Mus musculus: one gene and its partner. The protein of the gene in region 1 interacts with the protein of each later gene in a biochemical or structural test. Links are inferred from orthologs where the notes say so. Each region holds a gene or a part of one and is shown on either strand. Other genes may lie near its edges.

Region 1 (5,003 bases):
CCTGACATTTCCTTCGCTTCTACAAATTATTTAGCTGCTCATATTAAAAATATAAATATAGAATCATTTCTATGAAAGAAAGCCATTTAAAAAAAATCCTTGCCAAACCCCAAAGTAAGATAGTTTTAAAGATAGTTAAATAGAAATGTTTCTGTTTTTGTTTCTTGTCTTGTCTTTGTTTATTCTGTTTGTTTATTTTTGTTCTTCTTCAGCTCCTTTCTACTCCCAGTATCTAGGAATTTCCCCAAATCTGTCCCCTAAGTTCCCCCTTGTTTAAGCTGGTTAAGTTTTGGCCTTTCAAAAATATTAAGCAATACAACCAATTTCCATGTTGCCTCCTCTCCTTATGGTGAAATTTCCAGCGATGGGCCACAGATTAGATAATCTAAATGTTATCTCCCAGGTACACGTGCCAGACCTGCTTCCGGGAAGGAAAGGAATGAGCAGTAGACCGGTGGATGAATGCAAGCTTACACTGGACTTGGAGCAGTTCGAGAACTGTACCATGTGTTCCTGAAACACAAAGCCAAAAGACTGAACAGTTCTCTCCGCGAGGGCTCTGCTAAGATCCCAGTCCTTCTCCGATGTTTTCCCCATCGTCAGAAATAAATATCACTGAGCCCAAGTACGAGGTGCACCACCAGGTTGAGCTATACAGCAAGACTTCGTCTTAAACGCACAGCAAACAAACGGCACAGAGATAGGGTCATTGGCAGGCAGGGATGGCTAGATTGCTTCCCAGCGGTGCTGGGGCGAGGGGGGGCGGCTTGCAGGAGGGGGTGTCCAAAAATAGCTAGTCTCCATTCTGCGAGGACACTGAGCTTCAGAGAGATGGAGTTTTCCAAAGATCCAAGGCTGAAACCCATATCTCCCGGCTTATCTTAGAAACCAAAAAAGACAGTATAGGCCAAGAGAAACAGGTGGTAAAAATATGAAGGTTGTACACCTTTAACCACTAATCTCTTGTATTGAGATTCCCATCCTGCTAGGTCCTGAGATGAGCCTGTTATCTTTAAGATGGGGTAACATCTGGGTGTCTGAAAGAAAGGGCAGGGAGTGTACCAGGTGTATAGTGAACGAATTGGATGAGAGATAGGCTGGGTGACATAACTTGGTAAGGTGTTTCAATGTAGCAGAACCCACACATAGAAACCCTTGGCACGAGTTAATATAAGAATGGTGCTTGGATCAAATTACCGGCTTATATTGGGTCAGCTGCAAAAACTTTTCTACTTAGATTCTTCTTTTGACAACCCACGGTGGCAAATGCCAGCGGAAAAGCCTCTTCTTTAGGCTCTCTGTCTTGCTTGCTTCTCTTTTGGCTTTCACAAACCACCTGGTTATTAGAGTAACCCCACGCAGGAGTCCTGAGAACCGTAGTAGCAACGTAGCATCACAGGAGCCTTTGATCACAGTTCTCTCAAACCCGGACAGAAAGGCGTCCCCTGGAGCTGCGGGCGACAGCGGGCTGGGAGGAGCGTCGCCCAGTGGCAGAGGCCGCGACCGTGCTGGGGATTGGGGAGAGGATGGGCTCCCACCTCCCGCAGCTCCACAGGCGGTGCCGGGAGGCGGGGCTTCAGCCCACCGAGACTGGGAATTGGTTGCCGGAGCTGGGGAGGAGGGGCAAGCACGCTGTGATTGGCGGAGTCCGGTGCCGGAGGGGCGGGGCCTCTATAAAAGACGCGTGCCTGTAGCGGCGCAGGCAGTAGGGCTGTCGGAGCGGCGCGGCCGTGTAGCTCCCGGGAACTGGCTGTCGTGGGGGTGGCGGGGACGCGAGTGGCGGCTGCGTGGGGTGCAGGGCGGGTGGCCGCACGGCTGCACCTTCCTCACGGAGCCCGGAGTCGACTTGGAGCAATTGCGGTGAGGCGACAGCTCCGGCGCACACCCGAGAAGAAGCGGCGGTGGCGGCGGCCCCAGCCATGCTGTGCTATGTGACGAGGCCGGACGCGGTGCTGATGGAGGTAGAGGTGGAGGCAAAAGCCAACGGCGAGGACTGTCTCAACCAGGTGAGGGCGGCGATCGGAAAGGGGATCCCTTCTTGTCCCCGGGAAGCCTCGGGGCTCGGGGATGCTCCCCGGGAGCCGGGCGACGTTGCAGCAGCGGCCCGTGGAGTGCTCCCGGGACGCCAGGCTCCAGCCTCCTCCTCCTCCCCGCGAGTGGAGAGTGCGGTGGGGGGGGGGCGGGGGGAGCATAGAGGACGCTTACGGTGGGGGATCCGGGGCCCGGAGACCAGAACACTGCTGGGAACCTCCACCCTGTCCGTTAGCCTGGCACTTTTCTCTAAAGAAGGTGGCCCGGCACACCTGCCGCAGGTGTGTGTGTGTGTGATGCCTCCCGTGGAGTCCTTGCAAAGCCCGGCAGCGCCACCCGCGTCCCGGGATGAGATGGTTGCAAGCGGTCGCTGGCCCCGGGGCTCCCTAGCTGATCAGGTGGGCCCGAATCTCAAGCCGCTTCTCAGAAGGACTGTTCACCTGACACTCTAGGCTTGCTAGGGATCCAGAGTATATTGAGTAATTTGCGGGGGACGGTTCTGCAGGCAGCCTCCTTCTTGAGGGGTCTTTACACGTGTGTTTTCTTAAGGGTGACTAAGGCTCCTAACGGGGTGTGCCTAATGGATATTGGCAGGCCCATTTGACCCCTTGAAATACTGTGTCTACGAGACCTGTGGACCTGAGCTGTTTGGAAAGGCGCTTGTAAAGCTTAGCTGACACTTGTAGCATGCTTCCTCAATGCGTTTGTGTTTTTGGAATCCAGATGGTTAAAACTGTCCAGATAATACGCTGCCAAATCAGCTGTGCAGATGGTGCTGCGGGGCGGAGGGGGGGGGTGGCGGGGGGAATTCCAGCGATTGGAATAAGAAATAAAACACCCTGTGTGTTCTTCTACCTCAGCCTTTTGGGAAGTCTGTTTTGGGGGGACCCCTTTCCCTGTGCCATTGGTCAGACCCTAGAAATAGTCAAGCAAGGCCAAGCCTCCACTGGAGGGCTGCGTTTTGGCTTTGCTGTTTCCTTAAAACCTTGTTTTTCCGGTCGGTCTACCAACTGGCATTGCAAGAAGGTAGAACTTTGGGAAAGCAGGGGCCAGTCCTCTCCTCGGATGGAGCCCTTAGGTTTGCACTGCTCACACCCCATACCTTTGGTTTTGTTTTTAGGTGTGCAGGCGTCTAGGGATCATCGAGGTTGATTATTTTGGGCTGCAGTTCACGGGGAGCAAAGGTGAGAGCTTATGGCTGAATCTGAGAAACCGGATCTCCCAGCAGATGGATGGGCTGGCACCTTACCGCCTTAAACTGAGGGTCAAGTTCTTTGTGGAGCCTCATCTCATCTTACAGGAGCAGACAAGGTAAAGCGAGGCCGAAACAAACCAATGTCAAGTACACCTCAGATTCCATTTAGTGGTAGCTATCGTGCCCTCCCGGAGATGTTCCCTGGCAAAATTGACTTGGTGCAAAGGAAGTTCAGGAAAAATTCAAGTTTTCCAAAGCACAGTTGGCCTGGGTGGGTTTTTCAACACTTGGTTTTTTGTTTTGTTTTGTTTTTGTTTTTCCTGTTCTGTATAATATTAGTGGGAGAGGCAGGGTTGACTTCTTACAAACAAAAAGAAAACCAACTTCCTGACAGCTTCATCTAACGCCCGCTAGTAACCCCGCCTCAGCAGTGTTACTACAGGTCACTGTAGACCGTTCTAGCGGAAAGCAGGAAACAGTTCCTCTTGGGTTACTTAAACTTGGTCAGTCCTCAGCCTAAGTGTCAGATTACAGTGTGTAGCAGGAGCGGCTCTGTCTGGCCTCCTACAGATTTTAAAACTTTTTTAAGTTTCACAAAATCTTAATAAAAGAACTCTTTGAGGGGCCACTGTAAAGTAAATTTCAGCCTACAGATTTATTAAAAATGATTGTTGGACATGTGTTGTTGTTTTTTTCCTCCTTGTTAAACTAAGGGCCACCAGCCATGGTAGACAACCGAAGCCTGTGGGTGTGGTCTCCTTTTCAAACGACCAAAATACACACACACATACCCGGTACGTTTCCCTCTGAGCTGACTATATAATACTTTTCTCAAAGATGAACCAAAATAGGAAGGTGATGTTTAATATTTATTACCAAAATGCAAGAGACTACAGTGGCGTGTGGAAAAAAGGAAAATGATTGCTTTGAAAGCCACAGCAAACTTTGGATCCCAGCACTGATGTTTTCCATACTCCTGTGGCTTGGCAATGGGCCACGCATGTGAAACACGTGATCCTGCAGATTTCGACTCCTAATGGGGAACAGGCTCTTCTGAGAGGGTTTAACTTACCACTTTTTTTTATTTACTAAACAAGCGATGGAAACATTAAAAACTACCATCCATTTGGATTTGGAATGTCCACTTTGCCTGCCTTGCTGTGGCCTTTTAAAGGTTGAGAGAGATTTTGTTTATGAAGGAACCTGGCATAAGAAATTTTTACTGTTTCTGAAAATACCTTACAAATATTCATGTAGTGGCATACTTACAGATGCTGAACTGTCTGTATTAACCACAAGAGGCTCTGTCCTTTTTTAAAAACATTTACTCAGTGTCTCTGTGTACTTGTGTATGTGTGGAGGTAAGAGGACAGCTTTCAGAAGCCTCTTCTCTCCCTCTACTGTGTTGGACCTGGAGTCTGAACTCTGGTTGTCAGGCTCAGCAGCAAACATCTGAACCATCTCACTGGCCCATAGACAGATAGACAGATGGACAGACCGACCAAACTAGTTTGTGAAAGCTTCCTCAGTTCAGTCAATGAGAAAAATGCATGACAGCATTTATTTGTGTGTGTGTGTGTGTGTGTGTGTGTGTGTGTGTGTGTGCGTGCGTGTGTGTAGCAGTCACATTGTGATGCTACAGTGATTTCAGGGCTTCCAGGTGCAACCCAATTCTAGTGACATAAATTTATTTTTGAAATCAGCCAAAAGGTGAGGAAGCAAATAATTTCATTTAAGTAGTGGAAGGATAATAGCAAATGAATTGTATCGGGAATGC
Region 2 (4,903 bases), on another chromosome or scaffold:
ACCAGCCTGGACCATGGCGAGACCTCTATATAAGAAACCCAACTCAGCCAAAAACAGTCTTTGCAGCCGTCTGTCTGTCGCTGAGCTCTCTCTCATGCAGAGTCTAAACAAACTCTCCTCCCATTAAACATTAACTTCCTGTCTGCCTGCCAAGCAAGCAGCTCCCAGTAACCCAGGGACCTGTCTCAGTGACAGAGCACTTGTCTACCCACTCAAGGCCCTGGGTCTCCTGCAGAGAATAAAAAGCAAAACACCCCTGGGAAATTATTTACAGCAGGCATGGTGGGACAACCCTGTAATCCCAGGGTTTGGGAGCTGAGGCAGGAGGGTCTCCTTGATGTCCAGTATTGTGGACTATAATTCAAGACCAGTAAGGCTACAAAGTGAGACTTCGGGCAGGGCTACCCAATGGCAGGCCCCCAGCCCCTCCCTCACTGGGGAACTCTAGGCAGGGGTTGGAGCACTGAGCCACACACTCCAGCGCTGAAGTGTAATCTTACCGCGAGCAGGCAAACCCTGTAGCTCAGGCCCTCCTGACTGTTCTTTGCCTCTCACAGTGACACAGTGTGATGGCCCCAACAAGTTCAAGTGTCACAGTGGGGAGTGCATCAGCTTGGACAAGGTGTGCGACTCCGCCCGCGACTGCCAGGACTGGTCGGATGAGCCCATCAAGGAGTGCAGTGAGTGTTGGGGAGCCGGGGATAGCATCAGTGTGTAGTCACTGTGGGGCTGTGAGCCCAGCCAGCGCCCCCGCAGCATGTAAAAGGCTCGCTGTGCATCATAGATGTGACAGAGCTTTGGCTCCAGGGCAGGACAGGCATGGGAGGCAGGGGTGGCTGGGAGATGCAGCCTGGATTCAGATCCCTGGCACTTATATAAATACATTCTTCGTCTGGAGATGGCTTAGCACCTAAGAGCACTGGCTGTTCTTCCAGAGGACTCAAGTCTGGTTCCCAGAACCTAAGTCAGGTGGCTCAGAATCGCCTGTAACTCTAGCTACAGGGGGGATCCATCTCTTGGCTTCCGGTGCCTCTGGCTTCTGAGGTCATCTGTTCTCACAGTCACATGCAGACACGCTTATACACATGATTAAAAATAATAAAAATGAATGATCTTCCAAGTGTTTTGCGAAGGCAGTGCAGTAGCGTAGTGTTCCCCGTGGAAAGTGTACGGCGCTAGGACAGCCAGTCTGCTTTCTCAATCCCACGCAGAGACCAACGAGTGTTTGGACAACAATGGTGGCTGTTCCCACATCTGCAAGGACCTCAAGATTGGCTCTGAGTGCCTGTGTCCCAGCGGCTTCCGGTTGGTGGACCTCCACAGGTGTGAAGGTGAGTCTGCAGCACATTCAGCCACCCAGTGAACCCGTGCCTCAGTTTCCCCATGTGCTCAGTGGCCAGGAGTGCAGTCCCCACTGCTTAGGGCTCTTAGGAGAGTTCCAGGGGTGAACACTGGGTCCTGGCCTGACTGTTAAGAGCAAAGTGTATCAATGGCAGGTCCTGCCTTTGGGGATCCTCATCACGAATCGAGGTTCCAGCTCGAGCAAGGGCTCCGTTGCTAGAACTCTTGCCTTACAGGTAGCTCTGGATTCTGTCCCCAGTGCATCGCAACCTAGCCTGGTGGCCCACACAGGTAGTTCTAATGCTTGGGATGTGTCAGCAATAGGAACAGAAGTTCAATGTCTTCTATGTAGCAAGTTCAAGGCCAGCTTGGACTGTGTGAAATGTCTCAGAAAAAAGAGTTCAAATGTGGTGCAAAACTCCTTTAAACCCAGCACTTGAGAGACAGAGGCAAGCAGATTTCTGAGTTCACGGATAGGGTGGTCTCCATGGTCAGTTTGGGCCCACTAGGGCTACATACAAAGACAAACAATAAAAAAAAATAACAGAAAAACAACCAAAAATGGAAAAAAAATAAAGAAGGGAAGGAAAGGTGGCTGGAAGATTCCCACTGGAGGTGAGTGACAGGGTCCAGGTCCTGTGAGGGTGGTGTCCCTTAGCCACTGGAGGTGAGTGACAGGGTCCAGGTCCTGTGAGGGTGGTGTCCCTTAGCCATTGGAGGTGAGTGACAGGGTCTTGTGAGGGTGGCATCCTTTAGCCACTGGAGGATACATGTTTTGTTCTCCTGTTGTCCTGTAGAAAGGGTTCCTCTCCCCTAGACGAAACCCTTTCTCTGTCCCCATGCACACACAGATATTGACGAGTGTCAGGAGCCAGACACCTGCAGCCAGCTCTGTGTGAACCTGGAAGGCAGCTACAAGTGTGAGTGCCAGGCCGGCTTCCACATGGACCCACACACCAGGGTCTGCAAGGCTGTGGGTGAGTGCTGGGCTGCCGGCCAAGGTGGGCTGGGCTGCCAGCTGAGGGGGGCTGGGCTGCCGGCCGAGGGGGGTGGCTGGGCAGCTCCTCCCTGGGGCTCAGAACTGCCATGACTTTCCCTAGTTGGGTATGGCATCTCTCTAGGATTCTGGCTGGTGGCGGAGGTGTACAGTAGGGACCTGCCTTCACCCATATCTATCCTTCCCAGAACTCTACCTGCCCTGCTTCCCATCCAGACAGGGTGGGAGATAGGAAGAGGCACAAAGTGTGACCTGAGCCCGTTACCTCCCTAGTTAAGCTTACTAGAGAAATGGGTTCCAGGGGCTGGGGCTTGTAGGCAGAGTTCTTGCCTGGCATCCATGAAACCCTGGCTTCCATCTCTCATCACCCTGCGTGGCTTTCCAGGCTCCATAGGCTATCTGCTCTTCACCAACCGCCACGAGGTCCGGAAGATGACCCTGGACCGCAGCGAGTACACCAGTCTGCTCCCCAACCTGAAGAATGTGGTGGCTCTCGACACGGAGGTGACCAACAATAGAATCTACTGGTCCGACCTGTCCCAAAAAAAGATCTACAGGTGAGCTGCAGCCCCGTCACCCTTTTGACAGTCTGTCCCCTAGGGAGGCCCTGACCCCAGGCTCTATTGTGACCCCTTTCTTCTGCCTCAGCGCCCTGATGGACCAGGCCCCTAACTTGTCCTACGACACCATCATCAGTGAGGACCTGCATGCCCCTGACGGGCTGGCGGTAGACTGGATCCACCGCAACATCTACTGGACAGATTCAGTCCCAGGCAGCGTATCTGTGGCTGACACCAAGGGCGTAAAGAGGAGGACACTGTTCCAAGAGGCAGGGTCCAGACCCAGAGCCATCGTAGTGGACCCTGTGCATGGGTGAGTGTCCAAAGAGCTGGACAAGGGGATGACCCAAGGTGGGGGATCCAGAGCTGGGCTCAGGAGAATGTGAGATGGTCCTGAGCTCAGGGGAGACGGTGGATAGAGGCTGGGGTGTCGGTGATAGACCAAGAAAGCAGCATGGTGGCTTGGACCTGAACCCCAGTCCTGAGTTACAGGCTAGCTCGGGTTGCAAAGTGAGCTCCTAGTTCCAAAAAAAAAAAAAAAACAAAAAAACAAAACAATCAAACTAGAGGCTTAGCAAGGGCCCAGGGTATCTGATGCCTCTGGCCTCATCAGGCATGGCAATTAAAAATGATTTTTGTGTGTGTGTGTGTGTGTGTGTGTGTGTGTGTGTGTGTGGTGGTGGTGGTGGGGTTGTCCTGAGACTTGCTTTGTATAGCAAGCTGGCCTTGAACTCAGAGATCTGCCTGCCTCAGCCTCCCAAGTTCTGGGTTAAAAGAATGCACGTGGTCACGCATTGTGGTGACCAGAGGAGGAGGTTAAAGATAAAGTGTGCTGGAAGCCACTGCGGCCTGGCAGAATAAAATCTTAGAAACAAAACCAAACCTGGCTCAGTGGACAGAGCCCTGAAGTCTGACAACCTGTGTTTAATCTCAGGGACACATGGAGTCGAAGGAGAGAACCGAGCCCCCAAATGTTGCATGAGTACATGTTCACGCGTGCTCGTGCAGTGGGTGAATCAGTGTTGAGTAAGGTGCTGGGTGTGTGCTGCATTCGGTAGGGAGCTTTCGTAACTGCGGGAAGCCCCGGGTTCTGCCTCAGAACCCCATGAAGCAGGCGTGGTCACGCATTGTGGTGACCAGAGGAGGAGGTTAAAGATAAAGTGTGCTGGAAGCCAACTAAGACTCGGTCAAAAACAGTGTCCTAGCCTGGCGATGGGCACAGTGGTGCAGGAGGCTCTGCGTTCCACCCCCAGTACAAGAAAGAAAGAGGGGGCTGGTAAGATGGCTCAGCGGTTAAGAGCACTGACTGCTCTTCTGAAGGTCCTGAGTTCAAATCCCAGCAACCACATGGTGGCTCACAACCATCTGTAACAAGATCTGATGCCCTCTTCCAGAGTATCTGAGGACACCTACAGTGTACTCACATTAAATAAATAAATCTTAAAAAAAAAAAAAAAAAAAAAAAAAAAGCCGGGCGGTGGTGGTGCAAGCCTTTAATCTCAGCACTTGGGAGGCAGAGACAGGTGGATTTCTGAGTTCGAGGCCAGCCTGGTCTACAAAGTGAGTTCCAGGACAGCCAAGACTATACAGAGAAACCCTGTCTCGGAAAAAAAAAAAAAAAAGAAAGAAAGAAAGAGAGAAGCTGGGCTTAGTGATGCATGGCTTTCGATGCTAACCACTTAATTTTGTTGCCAAATCTCCCAGGCTAGGACAGGCTTCTAAAGGACTTTCAAGAATGCGTTCTCTCTTCCCTCCATGTGAGTTCCAGAGTTTGAACTCAGGTCGTCAGGCTTGGCAGCAAGAACCCTTACTGGCTAAGTCATCTTGCTGGCCCCATGAAGGACATTTCTGAGACCATGTTCTTTTTTTTTTTTTTTGGTTTTTCGAGACAGGGTTTCTCTTTGTAGCCCTGGCTGTCCTGGAACTCACTTTGTAGACCAGGCTGGCCTCGAACTCAGAAATCCGCCTGGCTCTGCCTCCCAAGTGCTGGGATTAAAGGTGTGCG

What was found. The genes of interacting proteins can lie anywhere in the genome.
Region 2: of the proteins of Mylip (region 1) and Ldlr, one has a biochemical effect on the other in vitro, tested with the Homo sapiens proteins (4 studies listed by BioGRID, with this or other methods). The link is inferred for Mus musculus from reciprocal best matches to the Homo sapiens genes MYLIP and LDLR.

Annotation. Positions count from the first base shown.
Region 1 is NC_000079.6:45,388,038-45,393,040, forward strand, and holds the start of Mylip (E3 ubiquitin-protein ligase MYLIP), read left to right. Parts: upstream 1-1,704; 5' UTR 1,705-1,919; coding exon 1,920-2,006; intron 2,007-3,151; coding exon 3,152-3,342; intron 3,343-5,003. UniProt on the Homo sapiens protein: E3 ubiquitin-protein ligase that mediates ubiquitination and subsequent proteasomal degradation of myosin regulatory light chain (MRLC), LDLR, VLDLR and LRP8. Activity depends on E2 enzymes of the UBE2D family.
Region 2 is NC_000075.6:21,736,663-21,741,565, forward strand, and holds part of Ldlr (low-density lipoprotein receptor isoform 1 precursor), read left to right. Parts: intron 1-557; coding exon 558-680; intron 681-1,211; coding exon 1,212-1,331; intron 1,332-2,192; coding exon 2,193-2,318; intron 2,319-2,723; coding exon 2,724-2,895; intron 2,896-2,986; coding exon 2,987-3,211; intron 3,212-4,903.